Neurospora crassa OR74A: one gene and its partners. The protein of the gene in region 2 purifies or fractionates together with the protein of the main gene of each other region. This does not show direct contact. Links are inferred from orthologs where the notes say so. Each region holds a gene or a part of one and is shown on either strand. Other genes may lie near its edges.

What was found.
Region 1: the proteins of NCU04327 (region 2) and rpa-1 purify together in Saccharomyces cerevisiae (affinity purification with western blotting; 4 studies listed by BioGRID). This does not show direct contact. The link is inferred for Neurospora crassa OR74A from reciprocal best matches to the Saccharomyces cerevisiae genes MCM2 and RFA1.
Region 3: the proteins of NCU04327 (region 2) and NCU01164 purify together in Saccharomyces cerevisiae (affinity purification with mass spectrometry; 4 studies listed by BioGRID, with this or other methods). This does not show direct contact. The link is inferred for Neurospora crassa OR74A from reciprocal best matches to the Saccharomyces cerevisiae genes MCM2 and SPT16.

Annotation. Positions count from the first base shown.
Region 1 is NC_026505.1:1,821,551-1,827,476, reverse strand, and holds rpa-1 (replication factor-A protein 1), read right to left. Parts: upstream 3,949-5,926; 5' UTR 3,712-3,948; coding exon 3,680-3,711; intron 3,619-3,679; coding exon 3,358-3,618; intron 3,297-3,357; coding exon 1,857-3,296; intron 1,796-1,856; coding exon 1,696-1,795; 3' UTR 1,269-1,695; downstream 1-1,268. Other genes in the region: NCU03607 (threonine dehydratase catabolic), read right to left, coding at 1-94, 367-703; NCU03605 (amidohydrolase), read left to right, coding at 4,539-5,457, 5,520-5,926. UniProt on the Saccharomyces cerevisiae protein: As part of the replication protein A (RPA/RP-A), a single-stranded DNA-binding heterotrimeric complex, may play an essential role in DNA replication, recombination and repair.
Region 2 is NC_026505.1:5,630,257-5,636,207, reverse strand, and holds NCU04327 (DNA replication licensing factor mcm2), read left to right. Parts: upstream 1-2,496; 5' UTR 2,497-2,648; coding exon 2,649-2,653; intron 2,654-2,736; coding exon 2,737-5,107; intron 5,108-5,249; coding exon 5,250-5,522; 3' UTR 5,523-5,783; downstream 5,784-5,951. Other genes in the region: NCU04328 (metaphase-anaphase transition protein), read right to left, coding at 1-1,531, 1,591-1,645, 1,700-1,833. UniProt on the Saccharomyces cerevisiae protein: Acts as a component of the MCM2-7 complex (MCM complex) which is the putative replicative helicase essential for 'once per cell cycle' DNA replication initiation and elongation in eukaryotic cells.
Region 3 is NC_026505.1:3,095,135-3,101,090, reverse strand, and holds the start of NCU01164 (transcription elongation complex subunit), read right to left. Parts: upstream 3,949-5,956; 5' UTR 3,386-3,948; coding exon 3,209-3,385; intron 3,110-3,208; coding exon 3,025-3,109; intron 2,969-3,024; coding exon 2,847-2,968; intron 2,776-2,846; coding exon 1,170-2,775; intron 1,118-1,169; coding exon 9-1,117; 3' UTR 1-8. Other genes in the region: NCU01163 (GAF domain nucleotide-binding protein), read left to right, coding at 4,996-4,998, 5,134-5,238, 5,327-5,331, 5,454-5,533, 5,823-5,956. UniProt on the Saccharomyces cerevisiae protein: Component of the FACT complex, a general chromatin factor that acts to reorganize nucleosomes. The FACT complex is involved in multiple processes that require DNA as a template such as mRNA elongation, DNA replication and DNA repair.

The DNA.
Region 1 (5,926 bases), about 3.8 Mb from region 2:
GCGATCTTGGGCGGAGGCGAGATGGTAGGCATAACGATGTGCGCCGGGATGCCGTTCTCGCGGGCAGCGAGGGAAAGGGCTTGGGCGTGGTTACCTTTTAGTTCGTTGTCACGTCAGTTTGGGTCTTCACGTAGCTACTACGTCTTGAACACATCGACAACTCTCATCACATCTCAGAAGACAATTCAGACAACTCAACCTATTTCAAAGCCTTCAAAAAAACTTCACATCTTCACAATCTCATTTCTCTCAATACTGATATCACCTCATCATATCCAGATTAAAAGAAAAAAAAAAAAAAAAAAAAAAAAAAAAAAAAAAAAAAAAAAAAAAAAAAAAAAAAAAAAAAAGCGGAAATTCACAAACCAGAACTATGCGTCACTACTCCGCCCTTCTTCAACCCCTCTAACCCCTCAGTTTGCTTCAACCTCTCCACAGCATGAAACGCTCCTCTAGCCTTGAACGCGCCAATCCGCTGGAAATTCTCGCACTTGAACCAGAACCGAATCTTTGGGTTCGCCGGTCTTTCGGTAGCCTCCCATTCCGTTCCTTGCAGCTCTTCGGGAGTACGAGGGGTGGAAGCGAGTTGGTCGAAAGTGGTATTCGTAAGCACGGGCGTCTCGTGAATGTAGGGCTTTATGAGGGAGTGAGCGGCGAGGACGGAGGCACGGGTAAGGGGAGGGGTGGTGCTGGGGTCGGCCATTTCGTTGGAGGTTTGAGAGGTTGAAGCTTGTCACTTTGTTGTTGATGTTGGTGGAAGGTGATGAGTGTAAGTAGACAACAAGAAGACACTGAATGGGATAGAGAAGTATGAGCAAAGATAAAGGTTTAACTTGGTCTTAGTGCTGACACGAATACGGTTCAAACGTGATTTCAATAGTCTTTTGTTCTAGAACTCGGTGTCAGCTTCCCGCTACATCGAAAGTGGGGGGCCCGAGGGAACGGAGCGGGGGCGGGTCTGGACGGCGGATATGTGGAGTCACGGCAGGGGATCCCGACGACGGCCGATAAGGAAGATACGGCGTTTAGGTTCCTGTCATCCATCTGCGTAATCGATAAGTGCCGATACGGTATCGAGCAGCTAAACAGTCCGCATAGAGACCGGAGCCGGGGTGCCTATTCACATAACGGAAGTTGGAAAGTGAAGAAAGATGACCAGGAAAGGCTGTGCCACGGGTTCTTTGCGTGAAAAAGCTGAAGCATAGAAGAGTTTGAGAATACGAGAGGGTGAAGAAGGCCGATAACGGATGAGATGATCGGATTGCCATGTGGATATTGAGCCCGAAAGGTGCGTATTACATTGCAAGGACCGCCCTGATCCGACCTTGACCAGCTCTGGAGCTTTCTTCTAGTCAACGAAGCGTGTGTACTTACCTCGGCATGTTATCGAAGATAACTCGAACAGGAAGGTCTCCTAGTGTCTCAACTCCAAGATAACGCTTGAGAGACCTATTCAAGTCTGCAATCATGCCGAAATTTGCTGCCACGCCAACAAAGTTCTGTTAGGGTTCGGCCCATCACAGCTCTTAACCATCCCAGTCCATCATGAAACTGCAAATCATCTTTCAGTCGATAGGCCAGTGATGCCCATATCGTTCATCCTTGAGACCACATGCCCGAAAATACAAACACGTGTTCATTAACCATATACATCATCTAGTTCCTCGCATAAGTGAACAAACCCCACCCTCCCCTTTACATGCTCATTTGGTTGTAAGAATTGATGAGCTCGTTAAGCTTGTTTCCTTCCATCTTGTAGTCAAGGGGCGCCACGCTCATGACCTGGTATCGAATCCTGCAACAAGCAATGTGTCAGCAACGTCCATCTAATCGTGAGAATAACCCCCGATACGTACCTCTGCTGTTCACCAAATGTGTCCATCTTCGCCCTGCACCTAAAGTTCAGCTTGCGGCAGTTGGCCTGCTCAAACTCGGCGGGCAACCGCGTCTCGTCGGTCTCTCGAATCTCCATAAGTTCATCGGCCGACTTGCCCATGATGACCCGCGCCGTATCGTCGAAGCAGCTAAGCCAAAGTTGACCTGTGTGGTCGTTGACGTTGACGCTCATAATGTAACGGTACTGAGGTCTATCGTGGTTGATCTGGCACTTCTCGCAGCGCCAGGTACCATCACCCATATCTGTGACCTTCCTGTTACAGCCTTCGCTTCGGCACCCAGGGTAGGCAAAGTTATCCTGCTTGATGAATACAACCGTTGCCTTGAGAGCGAAGTAATCCGGCGCCTCGTTTGTGCCAAGGTTCTCTTCCTTTACTTGTGAGATGGTCTTGGCGTCGTCCTTGCGACCGGTCGCACCACCCAAGGTCTGCATGTTGTTGTGGGTGGCGAAGGTGTTGTTCCTGCCGCTGCTATCATACCAGCCCTTGAGATGATGGGCCTCTGGAATATCCGGATCGATGGCCATGGTGCCAGACGAAAGCAGGGACAAGCTGCGTCCACCGAAATCGCTGACCTTTGTGCCCTTGAAGGCCACAATGGATTCAGGCTGAGCATCAAAGTTCGTGGCCGTCTTACCCCAGATGGTACAACGTACCGAGTACCCAGTGTTGTCAACAAGGGTCAGCTCGCGCTTGTCGTACGGCTTCTGTGTGGTCTTGGATACAATCTGGGTCACCTCTTGGACCTCCTTGAGGACACCAATAATATCGACAGTCGCATCCCTCTCAACATCCTGAAGCTCCTGGATGTTGACAAAGTTGAAGCGTACCTGTGGTACAGATGTCTGGTCTTCGGCCTTTTCGATCACGGTATCCCGCTCAAAGGTGAGCTCGTAGTCATTGGGGAGATTCGACCATTGCTTCTTGGCAAGCTGTACCCTGCAAGGTGTAGAAATGTAGTAAACCTGACCCTCCTGTAGCAAATCATAGAACTGGTCGACTTGGTCGTTGAATCCTGTTGCTCTAATTTCGCCACTCTCGTCAAGAAAGTTGACGCTGAAGAGCTTGCCCTCGCCGCTAGCCTTGTGCCAGGTCTTGATATCGGACTTGGAGGTGACTCTGGCCTTGATGGTCCATTTGTGCGAGAAGGGCGAGAGACCTTCAATAGGATATATCGTGCTTGATCCCTGACCCCCGCTGGCATTACGCGAGGGCATCTGGCGTGGAAACTGTGGTTTCGTGTCTTGGGTAGGTTCGCTCTTGACGCCATAGAAGCCGGTGCTGCCGAGATTGGGGTTCTGCTGTGGTTCTGCACTGCGGGGGCCAAGAGGCTGTGGATCGCCCATCTTTTCGGGACAGCCAAGGGACTGGATAACTTCGAGATCGAGGACAATCAAGATGCTGGATTTAAACAGTCAGTGTTATGGATTTCCCGAATTGGCGGAGGGGTAGATAGGCGTACTTTTTGCCCTTGAGACATTGAGCTTGATACTGCTTCAAGCGCACGATGCAGCCGCGTTGCAGGAGGCCATCGTGAACAAGATGGTTTGTTTGCGTGGCCATCATACATTGGACATAGTTCTTGAGGTCGCTCAGCACAATGCGGAACCTCTCCGTGGCGCCCGCGCCCCCATTCTTGGAGTCGAGGGTCTTGATCTGGAGACATTGAAGGATGGGGACAGGGAACTGTTGTTGTGCGCGATCGGGATCATTGAACATGGCGCTATAGCAAGAAGTCAGAGTCTGTCATACTACTGGATGGAAGCACACGTGAAGAAACCTACTCCAGAGCGCCCTGTGTGATTTGACCCGCCATGTTGGTTGGGTAGTGTTGGCGTCAAGCCCGTGGAGACGTTCTCGATGTTGTTTTTGAGGTTGATTTATGCGTGAGTCGTGTTCGAAGATGCAAGGATTGGGGCGCAGAAGTCAAGAAAGATCCGACAAGATACGGATGGATCGAGTGTGTTGGACTGATGATGATGGTGGTCTGGAGGGGAAATTTCACACAAACAATGGACTGCAGCAGCGACGCGTTTGGCAGCGCGTCGAGGAGGGGCAAGAGTTTAATTGCTAGGCATCCACGGTCCGTGCGGAGGGCCCCAGTTTGTATAGCGCGTGTAGTTTGCGTTTGCCGGGGAGTGTTGCTGCCAAGCGCTTCTGACAAGCATGGCAGTTGCCCGCCAACCCCATATCTCCACATCAAACCCCACCCGAGAGCTCAACTTCAGCAAGTTCCAGGGGCTCAACTTCCCTCTTGGCCTCGTTCACTTCTTAAGCTTTTGGAACATGTCATGATTTCTCTGTCAGGTCTTGCAGATAGAACCCTTTTTGCTAATATATTCGCACAATCATGTGATGACTGTACATAACAAGGGTATCTTTCTTCCGGTGCTGTAGGAAGACGAAAGGGAAAAGGACCTTGGGTTCCTCAAGGAAATGGAAACCGAAGACGGGAGGTAACCATTCTTGATCAGGAACCCTATCTTTGAATCTTTCGGTGTGAATTGTCCCGTCTTGGGCCTGCCCTTTGCATGCCGAACGTACCCCACCTCGTCGTGGTTCCTGGCTGTCTGTGTCGATCCCATCTCCCACCCCCTCCTGACCATCGAGGTACTCTCCTCGTACTGTAGCGCGTGCCTGCCTATGCTAAAACGAATACAAAATATAAGAAGGAGAAGGCTCGATTGGAAGTTCCCCCGTTGCCTCAGTTACATCCCATCCATACCTCTACTTTTGTGTGTTCAGCGTTGGTCTGCCTGCAGGACGGTACACCGCTTCGACGTCCTGACCTTCCTACTTCCTGTCATCTCTGACTTTGCTTGCTTCGCTTGTCTCCTTCTCTTTCTCTATCACTGGATACCTTACTTTCTTGCCAAACATATCCGTCGCTTTACCAAACTCGAGCTCGATAACGGCCTGATCAAAATGGCATCATCTCCCGCCGTTTCCGTTCCCATCATCGACACCCATGTGCACCTCTATCCCCAGTCCGAGGTAGAATCCCACCAGTGGTACGCTGAAGACAATCCTCTCGCCAAGCAGCACTCCATCCAGGAATACCAGACCGCCACCGGTGCGCCTGGCAATCTTCAGGGCTACGTCGCAATTGAGGTCGACCGCAAGAACGACAATGCTAAGGATTGGACTTACCCCCTACAAGAGATCGCATGGCTTCGCCGCATCGTAACCGGCCAACCGAAGCCTGGCGAGGGCCACACGGCTGACGATGGCCGTGATTGTCTCGGAATTGTGCCGTGGGCGCCGGTTGTATTGGGCTCTGCCGAGTTGGAAAAGTATCTCGCAGCTGCGGAAAAGGAAGCCGGGCCTGAAACATGGGCCAAGGTGAAGGGTTTCCGCTACTTGCTGCAAGATAAGCCCAACGGAACAGCCCTAAGTGACGATTTTATCGAGGGCCTGAAGCTGCTTGGCAGAAAGAAGTTCGTCTTTGACCTGGGTGTTGACCAGCACAAAAGAGGGAGAATCCAACTGGAGGAGGCGGTAGAAATGATCGACCGTGCACACGAAGGTGTGGACGAGGAGGACAAAGTGGTATTTATCCTGAGTAAGTTTTTACCTTGACACATTCTGCATGATTTGCTTGCTAACTGATGGTTCTCATCTCAGACCACCTTTGCAAGCCAGATCTAACCATCGTCAATGTACAAACGGATCCCTCATACATCGCCTGGCGCACCGCCATGTTTACTCTCAGCAAGTGCGACCGTACCTACATGAAACTGAGCGGCTGCTTCAGCGAGATGCCCGAGTTTTTGAGGGCTCGCCCGGCCGAGGAAATTCTCTCTGCTATCCTACCCTGGCTTGCTGTGGTGATAGCCGCCTTTGGGCCCGAACGCATCATGTTTGGCAGCGACTGGCCGGTGTGCACTCTAGGCCTTGGTGATGAAGCCTGGAAGAAGTGGCGCAGAGTGGTGGAGATGACGTGCCATATGGCCGGCTTGGGACCCGAGGCTCAGACAAGGCTCTGGGCGGAAACAGCGAGGGAAGCGTACAAACTTGATAGTCGTCCGGTC
Region 2 (5,951 bases):
CCTCCTCTTCCTCCATCTCTCCTGATCCACCCGTTCTAACCTCGTCATCCCCCCTCAACTTTGCAAAATACGCCTTGATATCCTCCGCACTAACCGCCCTCCCACTCTCGGCAAACTCTCTGAAAAACGGCTTCAATTTGTCCTTCAAATGGTTATAAGCCATGACGCCCTCAATGGCTCGCACCCGATCGATATTCCGCAAGGCCGACTCGCCTCTTTCGAGAACCGATCCCGACCCCTTGCTGCTGCTTCCGCCGCCGCCGCCGCCGTGTAGAGAGTGGGAGGGAGAGGAGGAGGAGGTTTCGGAAACGGGGGGTTCGTAGGTGTCTTCTTCTTCGAGGAGGTGGGGGTGCGGGATGAGGAGGGGGAAGCAGTGGGGGCAGTGGCACAGGAGGGAACGGAAGGAGGGGGTGGTGAAGAAGAGGGAGAAGGGGGAGTTTTGGGAGGTTTGGGAAGGTGGTGGGGGGAGGGAGGAGAGGAGGCAGGGTTTGGGGTTGGGATTGGGGTGGGGGGTTGTGGTGGAGGAGTCTGTGGTGGTGAGGGTTGTTGTGTTGGTGGTGGAGGTGATGGTGGAAGAGCCGTTGGTTGTGAGGGACTCGGTTGTAGTGATGGCGGTAGTCGTTGAATGGACGGTTTCATCGGTTTTGGGCTTCTTTTCTTGGGATTCCTCGATGTGTTCGTTGTCCTCGTCAGATGCTTTGCGCTTCTTAGATGAGGAATTGCCGTTGACTTTGAGTTCCGAGGTGGTACTAATGGTTTGCTCCTCCTTCTTCAGATAGACAGGCGGTAGGAATCCTTCAGTACCCGCGTATCTCTTGATCCAGGGGTACGCCTCGACGCACTTATAGCAGATGAATCCCTCAAAGTCGTCATCGGCAGGGAAGCCAGGCGGTGGAGGTGGGTCGTCGTCTTCGTCTTCGTCTTCCTCTGCCTCTTCGGCATGGGCGCCGTTCTGTTCTGTTGTCTCATCTTCCGCAATTGTAGGTAGGGCACCATTTTCGGTCTTAACCTCCGTCTTCAGCGCCGCAGACTTGGGCTTATCCTTCTTGTCCATCTTCTCAAACCAATCCGGACCCAAACCCACGATGCACCCAGGATGGTACCAATCCTCCCCACAACCACCCGTTTCTGCCGTGCCTAGGCCCAGACATTGAAACATGGTCCCCTTCTGCTCAAACGGGTCATAATCGCACTCGCAGCCGCAGAACCGATTCCGGAAGTTATGGTTGTACTTGTTGTTGACATCTGGTTCCTCCGAGTGCACGCCGCCCTTGGTGCCCGTCTCCTCATTGATGCGCAGGTTGCACGGGCTCGTGGGCGGGAAGCGTGTGGTACCGCAGTCGCAGGTGAAGTTGCGCTTGGCAAAGATCTCGACGAGAGTGTGCTCGCCGTGACACTGGACGGAGCAGGAGTAGCAGATGCCGGCCGCATTGTAGGGCGCTTTCGGGTCGGCGGGTGGTGGGTTGCAGGTCAGGCAGGAGAAGACGGCCTGGCGGAGGGGGCCGAGGGGCTTGGTGCAGGTTTCGATGCTCTGGTGGGAGGTTAGGATTGACTTTAAGGAAAAGGGCAGAGAAGACAAGGGACACGCACGTATGGAAGAGCTTCGCGAGCGTCGGCCTCTAGTTGCATTTGGTCGCGGATGAAGCTAGACCATGGTTAGTACTTTGTCATGTGGTAAGTCCAATATATGACAACATACTCTGCGGCAGTCTGAGAGTTTTCTGACTTGGCGGAGAAGCTTTCAGTACGAGTCTTGGTGAGCGCGACTGGTGCTGGAGCTCCATGGCCATCTGGAGTGGCCTCGGCGGGCTGTTGCGCCGGTTGAGGGTCCATGGGTGATGGATGCTTTCACGGTCAATCTTGGATGGTCGGTGGTCTATCAAAATTGTTGATAAGACAAATGCCTCGAGATGGTGCTGGATCACGAAAGATGGGTTCTGTCCGGAAGTCTTTAAAACAAAAAACAATTGCTGGGGCGCGAAGAGGAGGAGGAGGAGGGGGAGGAGGAGGAGGAGGGCGCGTTGGTGGAAGCGTGGGGAGAAGGACCGAGCTTGCAATGTACCCTTGGTTTGGTGTAAGGCACTGTGGTCTATATGTCCAAGCAGCACAGATTGGAATTGGGTTCAAGGAAACCTATTTGAACGTGATCCGATCAATAACATGGCCCTGTAGTATGTAGCACCTTATAGCTCATGCTTTGCTCGTCATTGTTCACTGGACTTTGAGCTTTTGTGACTTTTTGGGAATCTCGACGAGTCGAATTGGCGTGTAAGAGCAGCACCAAGTGGGTCCGGTACGCATTGCCAAGCCCATTAAACCTCAGCAACCACTTAACGCGACCGCCCTTATCCGGCTTAGCGCATCACGTCTGGCGCGTCTTCCCTGGACTGCAACGCGAGAAAAAAGCAGGGACAAGGTCGCCGCAACGAAGGGCAACATTCATTCAGTGGTTCCTCGACGCTGTTTGTCTCCATTCCCCTCCCCCCCCCCCCCCCCTTCTCTCTCTCTGTCTCACCCCGCAACATATCCTCTTTCTGGCTGGCATTCATTCTCCATAGTAACAACTAGGCCAGCATCCTCCACTCTCTTGTTTCTTCCATCTGTAGCTGGCTACAGTCCTCTGAGATACCCTCAGCCAAGTCGCAATCATGAGGTATGTGTGCCTCTTGCTCTTTCGTCTGTCACGGCTTCTCTTCGCAAGTAAACAGTGAATTAACGGAAACTCTCCAATACCAGTTCCCCGCTTCGCGACAACCCGTCCTCTGCCAACCGTGGCGCCGTTCCCAGGGCCACTCGCAAGCGTGCGCGTAACGATCACGATGGTGCTTCCTCGCTTCCCCGCGCTTCGAGCCCTGTCATGCCCTCTTCTCCTCCCGCCTTCCCAGTTGCCCATGGCGCAGATGAGGACGACGACATCGAGGAAGACGTCGCCGCTGAAATCGAAGACGACATTGACGACCTCGACGAGTTGGCCGAAGACGATGTAGATTTGTTCCGCGAAGGCTTCGAGCGCGATTATAGGGAACGAGACGAAAACGACGCCTACGAAGGAATTGACATCGACGATGACGAGTATGAGGCCCTCGACCCCGCCGCAAGGCGCCGTCTTGAAGCCAAGTTGGCCCAGAGAGACCGTCAAGTGAGGATGGGAATGGGCACCACGTATCTTCCTGGTGATGACGACGATGGTGATATCGACCTTACCAACCTGGAACGCCGCCGAAGAATCCGCTACAATGAAGACCCCGATGTCGATATGGATGGCGACATTATGGACTCGGAACTTCCCCTCGAGGCCCTGATGGATGTCAAGGCTGCCACTTTGAGCGAATGGATCTCAGTCCCGGCTGTACAAAAGACCATCCGCAGAGAGTTCAAGGCTTTCCTCACAGAATACACCGACGAGAGCGGTTCGTCCGTCTACGGCAACCGCATCCGTACTCTTGGTGAGATCAACGCCGAGTCTCTCGAGGTCTCCTACGAGCACCTCGCTACAGCCAAGGCCATTCTCGCATACTTCCTCGCCAATGCGCCAACCGAGATGCTCAAGCTCTTCGACGAGGTTGCCATGGAAGTCGTCCTTCTCCATTACCCCGACTACGAGCGCATTCACGCCGAGATCCACGTCCGTATCTTCGACCTTCCTATCCATTATACCCTCCGTCAGCTCCGCCAGTCGCACCTCAACTGTCTTGTGCGCGTGAGCGGTGTCGTCACCCGCCGCACCGGTGTCTTCCCCCAGCTCAAGTATGTCAAGTTCGACTGCACCAAGTGCGGCGTCACTCTCGGTCCCTTCCAGCAAGAGTCCAACGTCGAAGTCAAGATCTCTTACTGCCAGTCCTGCCAGTCTCGTGGCCCCTTCACCCTTAACTCCGAGAAGACCGTCTACCGCAACTACCAAAAGCTCACCCTCCAAGAATCCCCCGGCACCGTTCCCGCCGGTCGTCTGCCCCGTCACCGCGAGGTCATTCTCCTCTGGGACCTGATCGACAAGGCCAAGCCGGGCGAGGAGATCGAAGTAACGGGCATCTACCGCAACAACTACGACGCGCAGCTCAACAACCGCAACGGCTTCCCCGTCTTCGCCACCATCCTCGAAGCCAACAACATTGTCAAATCCCACGACCAGCTCGCCGGCTTCCGCATGACCGAGGAAGACGAGCACGAGATTCGCCGTCTCTCGCGCGACCCGCACATTGTCGACAAGATCATCAACTCCGTCGCCCCTTCCATCTACGGACACACCGACATCAAGACCGCCGTCGCCCTCTCCCTCTTCGGCGGCGTCGCCAAGCAAGTCGGCGCCCACCACATCCGCGGTGACATCAACGTGCTGCTCCTCGGCGACCCCGGTACCGCCAAATCACAAGTACTCAAGTACGCCGAAAAGACGGCCCACCGCGCCGTCTTCGCCACCGGCCAGGGTGCTTCCGCCGTCGGTCTGACGGCTTCCGTCCGGCGCGACCCGCTCACGTCCGAATGGACTCTCGAGGGCGGCGCCCTCGTCCTCGCCGACAAGGGCACCTGCCTGATCGACGAGTTCGACAAGATGAACGACCAGGACCGCACGTCCATCCACGAAGCCATGGAGCAGCAGACCATCTCTATCTCCAAAGCCGGTATCGTCACGACCCTGCAAGCCCGGTGCGGAATCATCGCCGCTGCTAACCCTATTGGCGGGCGGTACAACTCTACCATTCCCTTTTCTGCCAACGTGGAGCTTACCGAGCCGATTCTGTCTCGTTTCGACATCCTTTGCGTCGTGCGCGACACAGTCGAGCCTGAAGAAGATGAGCGGCTGGCGCGCTTCATTGTCGGGTCGCATTCGAGGAGTCATCCGTTGATGAACAACAACACGCAGGACGCTAGCGGTGGTGACTCCATGGAGGTTGAACACGATACCCAAGCTGCTGCGGAAACCCAACAAACTGGTGAACACGGCCGTAAAAAAGAGGGCGAAATCCCACAAGAGCTGTTGAGGAAGTATATCCTTTATGCCCGAGAGCGGTGCCAGCCAAAGTTGTATCACATGGATGAGGATAAGGTGGCGAGGCTGTTTGCGGATATGAGAAGGGAGAGTTTGGCGACGGGGGCTTATCCTATTACTGTAAGTTCTTCCCTCTTTCCTTTTTCCTTTTTTTTTTTTTTTTTTTTTTTTTTTTTTTTTTTTTTTTTTTTTTTTTTCTTTCTTCCTCCGTCACAAAATACAACACAATAACAACTGCTAACCTCACCCACCACCACCTTAGGTCCGTCACTTGGAAGCCATCATCCGCATCTCCGAAGCCTTCTGCCGCATGCGCCTTTCCGAGTACTGCTCCGCCCAGGACATTGACCGCGCTATCGCCGTGACCGTCGAGTCCTTTGTTGGCTCGCAAAAGGTCAGCTGCAAGAAGGCGCTTGCCAGGGCTTTTGCCAAGTACACGCTTAACAGGCCTGGTACTGGTAATAATGGCTCTGGGAGCGGCACCTCTCAGGGGAGGAGGGGCGGTGCTAGGAGGGGTGTGAGCGCTGCTGCTTGAGAGGTTCTGATGACTTTTTGAGGTATGTGGAGAGATATGAAATCATGCTTTTCGTGAAGGACCTGGGAAGATTACACGGTTGGGATTTGTTTGGGTCGCTTATGAACTTTGTGTAAAAAGGGCTTGATTAGAGCCGGAGTGGAGGCGTTGGGTATATCATCTTGTACGCTTGTTACGTATTGTGGATGGCATAGTGTCATATTTTCTTTCGGTTCAAGCGAAATAGAACCCCAAGTGATGAAACCAAAAACTGGCATTATCAGCAATCGTATTTGCCTCCACCTATCTACTATAGTGTCGTATCATTCCTTCATAACATCATAATGTAACTTTCCCTATTTTGTGATACGCTTGTCCCATCGTTACCACGCCAACAAGGCGAGAGCAACCAACCAATCTTCCATCTGATGCGTGTAAAACACCCACCGC
Region 3 (5,956 bases), about 2.5 Mb from region 2:
TAATCAGTCTACTTTCTCCGCTTCTTGGGTGCCGCACGTTCCTCCTCGTCGTCGAAGCCGCTCTCCCTGTCACGCTTCTTAGCCTTCCTCTCCAGCTCATCCCAATCCTCGCCCTCCTCCTCCTCGCTGTCTTCCGCCTCATCGCTGGCCTCCTCCGAGGCGTTGGAGTCGTATTCGGAATCCTCTTCGCTAGACTCGGAAGCGTCCTCCAATTCGCTCTCGTCAATTTCGAAGGCGCTCTCCTCTTCCTCCTCCTCCACTTCGTCGTCGTCGCTGTCGTTCTGCAGGAAGCCCCAGCCACCATCCAAGAAAAATTGGTGGGTATTGGCAGTGACCGTTTTCATGATGACACCCCAGTTGAGGTTGAGAGGACCCTCTGAGAAGGCAATGTCAGACGAGTCAAGGAACTCCTTGACGTCTTCCAAAGACTCGACAGGAATGGTGTTGATGTGGTATGGTGGCCTCGTGAAGTCCTTGAAGACAAACACCAGATCAAAGTTTTTGAGACCAAACTGAACACGTTCCAGATGTGCGACTTCAATGTCCTCAAGGGTGATAACCATGAATGGAGGTTCGGTGATCTGGATGAGACACTCCGTGGTGGGCTGGATGTACACGTTACTGCGGAACGGTACACCGTTGAAACCAAGGTCGCGGAGTGGCATGTCCACCTCAATGCCTTCGTTGCGGCCCGCCTCGGCAATCTTTTCCGCGAACGACTTGAACAGGCGATCCAGCTCTGCGCGGCGCCGGCGTTCCTCCTGTTCAGCCTCGAACTCATCCTCATCACCATAACGATACTTGCGCTTCCGATTGCCGGTCTCGTCGAACTGGATGTCGGTGGCTTCCCTGTAGAATTGGACATCCTTCGTCTTCTTCTTGTTTCCAATGATAATGGGATCCTTGAGGTGGATGTGGATGATCACAATCAACTCGTGCTGACATGGTTGGAAGAAAAGGTGGCGAACGTTGGAAAAGAGGATATCCACGCGTTGCGTTGTGCTGAGAGGTGACTGGTAGCGAATACCGTTCTGGTGAATTTCCACCTTACCAGGCACACGCTTGCCCTCCATGGCCGGCCGGATGAAGACATTATCCAATACGGCGGGCCGACGGTCTGATAGTTAATTAGTATGTTGCAATACAATTGATCCGGGAAAGCGACTTACTTCTGATTTCAACGAGCTTGTCCTGCTCAACTACGTCCTCCATATCCTTCTTCTCCTGCTCCTTCTTGACAGCGTCTCGTTTGAGGTTCGAGATTTGGTTTGCAATGTCAGCATACCTATCGCCATCGGTTGATTTGAAAGTCAAGCTCCTGACGAAGTGCGCAGATGCATCTTCGAAGGGCTGCTCATCCTTCCGACCCACACCCTGGCCAGGAGATAGGAAGTTGATTCTCAAGAATGACCACTCGCCCTCGTCACTCTTGCTTGCGTTCTTGATGGTGTTGATATGGAAGGGTACCGGCCTGCCCATAACAGGCAGTACTATGGTCGCGTTCTTTTGATCAATAACGATGCCCATATCCTTAACCTTGGGCGGGAATTGATTATCCCGCTTGTAAGATTCGAAGCGCTTGAACTTTTTGATTTCGACGCCATTCTCATCAGCGGTAGATTCGGCGTATTTGGCCAAGCCTTCCTTCTGTTTCTTCTGCGCGAGTTCCTTCTGATGCTCGCGACGTCTCTTGTCCGCGTCCTCATCTACCGTTGTATTACGCTCAGAGCGTAGACGAGTGCTAGTGATGTTCTTGGTTGCAACGGCACCCACCCTAGAGTCCCGCTTCTCCTTTTTCGGTGTGGGCTGTGCTTCTTCCTCATCTTTGAAGAAGAACGAGGTGGCATCAACATCGACAGGCGCCTCGCCAGTAAACACCACCGGCTCGGAGCTAGTGACACGGATCGTATCGGAAAGGATCAAGGAATAGACCTTGCTGTTCTTGTCTTGGGGGTTGGGGTTCTGGATATCACTGAAGCCGGTGGTCACAACCAGTGTCATGCCATCCTTAAGGGTACGGGTGTTCTTGTTGTTGAGAATCAAGGTCGGGTCCTTGTTCTCCAGGCCGATTCCAAAGCCGACGTTCTTAAGAAAGTGCTTCTCAAGATCGGGCTTTTTGGACCGCACAAAGTTGTAGGCCTTGGTGTAAACATCCTTGACAATGGCACCATCCCGGATCTCCTTGAGAATGAGGTTGTGGACAGCAAGTAGGAACTTGTAGTTGCTTTCTTGGGACTTGTTGGGATCGACCATGAAAGTTCTGGCGATTTGGGAGCAATAGGACTTGTATCTGAGACCCATAGCCGCGATGATAATTCCCGGGTGGAGTATATCATTGTCAGAATCAGCCTGCCACTTCAGGTCAAATTTGCCACCACTTTGGACGATCGGTCCCAGAATCCAGTCCAGCTGCTCGGGATCGAGGTCAGCCGGGAGCTTCTGTCGGTTGGGCAGCTCGACGGTCTTCCAAAACTTATCGTCTTCCAGTTTGTTGAAGACCTTATCGGCTAGTGCGCTGTGCTTGATCTTCTTATCTTGGTCGAGGATATTGGACATTTCGTCGAGGAAGTAAGGGGTCAGGAGGGCGACGCAAGCCTTGGACGAGGTCCGCATGGCACGAAGCTCGGTCTCATCCTTGACGGAGAAGGCGCCAGCAGACAGAGCCTGGGCAACGTCAACCTCCTCCACATCCTTGCAGTTATCGGCATAGACCTTCTTCCATTCGTCGATAAAGGGGCCCTTGGAGGTGTCCTTGGTAAGGACGCCAACCTTCTTCTATAACGAGCGAAAATGTGTTAGAACCGCACCGAGATGTTGATGTGCGCCCAGGATGGGATGTAACTTACGCCCGCAGCCTTGATGGCATCCGTAATTTTGATGAAAAGCTTCTCGTTCTCGGCGGCGTCCTTCCCCCGCACGAGGACCTCAACGGGGTATCTGCCGCCCTTCACTTGGTCGAGGTACTTGGCTATTAACGTGTCAGATAGTTTGTCCGCGTTCTTGGGTCGGGAATACCGGGCGAACCTTTCTTTTGGGTGGTGAGAATGTAGATGGTGTCGAGGGTAAACAGCATGAGGGTCGTCGGGAACTCGTAACCTAGCAGCCAGAACTTTACGTAGAGCTATCAGCAGCTGTCATTTGACTGGAATGGCCCGCCAGACGTACAGCCAGCGCACGCCGAGCGGGCTCTCCAGAGGGCAAAACTCACATGGATAGCGTTGTTCTTGTGAAACTCGGGGTTCTCGTCGACCTTGCCCATCAGGATGACGATGGAAGAGACGCCACCGAAGAGAGCGTCTCCGGAGCGCTTGTCGGCCTTCCAGGCATTGTAGAAGTGCGAGACGCGCTCCTGGAAGACCTTGCTGTCGATTTTGATGTCTGCCATGATGAGCGACGGCACAGCGGCGCGCGATTGAAGATGGCAGAAACAATCAAATCAGCAGAGGTTTGGGTTTGGGTGAAGTCGTGCTTTTGGCGAGGGGCTGCTTGCTCTGGTACTGACGGTGGCGGCAGACACCCTTCAAGATGACAGAAACAAGGCTACCACACCTCTCCAGCCGGCACTGCTAGTACTTTACAGTGCTTGCCAGCCGGGATCCGGTTCCAGGCCAAAGACACAAAAATTCCCGTGTCGCGCGTCGCTCACGTCACGGGCCACAGCTCTTGGCGCCCCTGTCCACTGCCTTCGCGTTAGGATGCCTAAGAGGTTCTGTTCTGTGCCTGAGGCAACTATATATGCTGGTTGCCACGGCAATGGTGATATTCCTGAAAGGTCTGTAGTATGGGAATCGTAGAGAAGTATATTGATGAATGATGGAAATAGACGAGCGTAAATGGTGTCGTCGGGACTTCCAACAACTTGCGATTCTGTTAACTTTGTAAGTCGAACTTGTACCTCTTTCTTTAGGTGCCCTGCAGCGAGTGCATGGAGATGAAAGAGGGACAGGCGGGACAGGGCGTGGAATGGAAACAGAGGGACGGGAGGGGTGGAGCTAAGTTTCCAATGCACAGGTACGATTAAACTAAGTCTTGGCAAGCGATGGAAGCTCTGGGGTGCCGAACTTCTTCCATTTAAATACTAGTAGACGTACTAACCAGAACTCACCTTTCTTTACTTCGACGCAAAGAACGTCCTCAGCAGCGATCAACCTAGAGCTGATACCCATGTCAACCTGAATGAATAAATGAACGAGTGATGGCAATCACTGTGCGAAACGACAGCAACACTATCTTCAAGAATAGACTCGACGGGCCCAGACACCGCGTACAAGTGCAAAGAGCAATGTCCAAGATGCCGCTCGGAAAACCTGTGATGTTTCACATCTATACTTGATAGATCGGCATTCTGGAAGATACCGCCATGAGATGGAAAAATTGGCTAACATCTGCCCGACGGGAAACTTTACTGAATGGTGGAAGACGACGAACTGTGCCCATCGAACCAATCACTTGTCCGTGATTTGACGTTCACTGCAAAGCGAGCTGCTGTACTGCAAAAATAAGTAGTTCCCGCTGCCGTCTCGACAACCATTTGGGCATCTTCTGGACCTTGGTTCGGGTAACTTAGACAGCACATCATAAGGTCCAGATCACTAATAGAAGACAAGCTGCCATCAGCACAACTTCCGAGAAGGGCCCTTGAGCTGTATCCTGCCCAGTATGAAGCGAGGACGAGCCTCCCACACCATCTAGTAAGTATCCGCACAATTATCTTGGATTCCTTTATCCGGCTGGTGATTCAGTCCGGTCCTCTTTGGGATCGAAACCGTGAATCCACCGGAGGCCACTCGGGGCCGGCCCATCGGCTGCCGGTACGGCGGCAGTTCCGCACGGACCCGACCGGAGCAGTGCCATTTGGCCCCACTTCCCCGGATTCAGAAGTGAATGACAAATTTCAAAAGTTGAAGTTCGCTTCCTCGGTGTCCAACACCACCACTCTAGGTCGATTTTCAAGATTTGTACATAGAAAGAACAGGGTCATAATAATACGTCAAAATGGTTCGTGAACAGTTTCAATCAGTCCAATCCTTTGTTTCGAGACAGTTGAAGACCTCATCGCGCATACCTACCTACGAACTACAGGCTTCTCCAAACTTGAGGACGGTTGAGACTAACACGGTATTCGTCTTATAGGTTCACGCCGACGCTTCCAACTTTGCTGCCAACGTCACCAAGGAAGAGGCCTACCAGCAGGTTCTTGACCAAGCTGAAGGTCTGTTCTATGAGCAGAGGAACTGGGTAAGATGAGGAACCAAGCCTGCTTGCACCACCACATCAGGAAGGGACAATGTCTAAAAAGGTGACCTGAATGATTGACATTCGTTAGGTTTGGTAAGTCGACGTTGGCTCCCACATGTACCCTACAGCCCCTTCTCGGGATGGTCCGTCCTGAAAACAACAGATGGAACGTACAAGATCCTCATTGTAGTGCTAATGTACTCTTTAAAAAATAGCAATTTGTCCAACTGCGCTGCCCTTCTCTGGCACGCTTTCAAGTCTCTTCCGGCTCCGAGCAACCAGGTCAACTGGGCTGGTAAGTATTTGTTGTGTTCATCTTTGTTCAAGATCCAATCCAGCTTTTTCTTCCTACCTCTGCTTGTTCAACGGTCGTTATCTCTTCTTTCAGTTTTCATTTTACCTTGCTTCGTCGAAAATTCCTGTCCTTTTTGGACAACATCTCCCTCTCCTCACTGCGTCACTACTTTGCCTGTCAAACACACCTATACGTCTCATCTCACTACACTTGACTCTCTCTTTCTCTCTCCCTTCCCCTCTTTTCCTTTAGCCTCTTCCAAATCCAAATTAACCCGCCCACATAATAGGCTTCTACACCCTCAACCACCCCTCCACTACCGAACTCATTCTAGGCCCTTTTCAAGGTAAAGTAGCCTGCCAAACCATCGCCTTCGGCAGGGGCGTATGCGGTGCCGCAGCCGCCACCAAGACCACTCAGCTC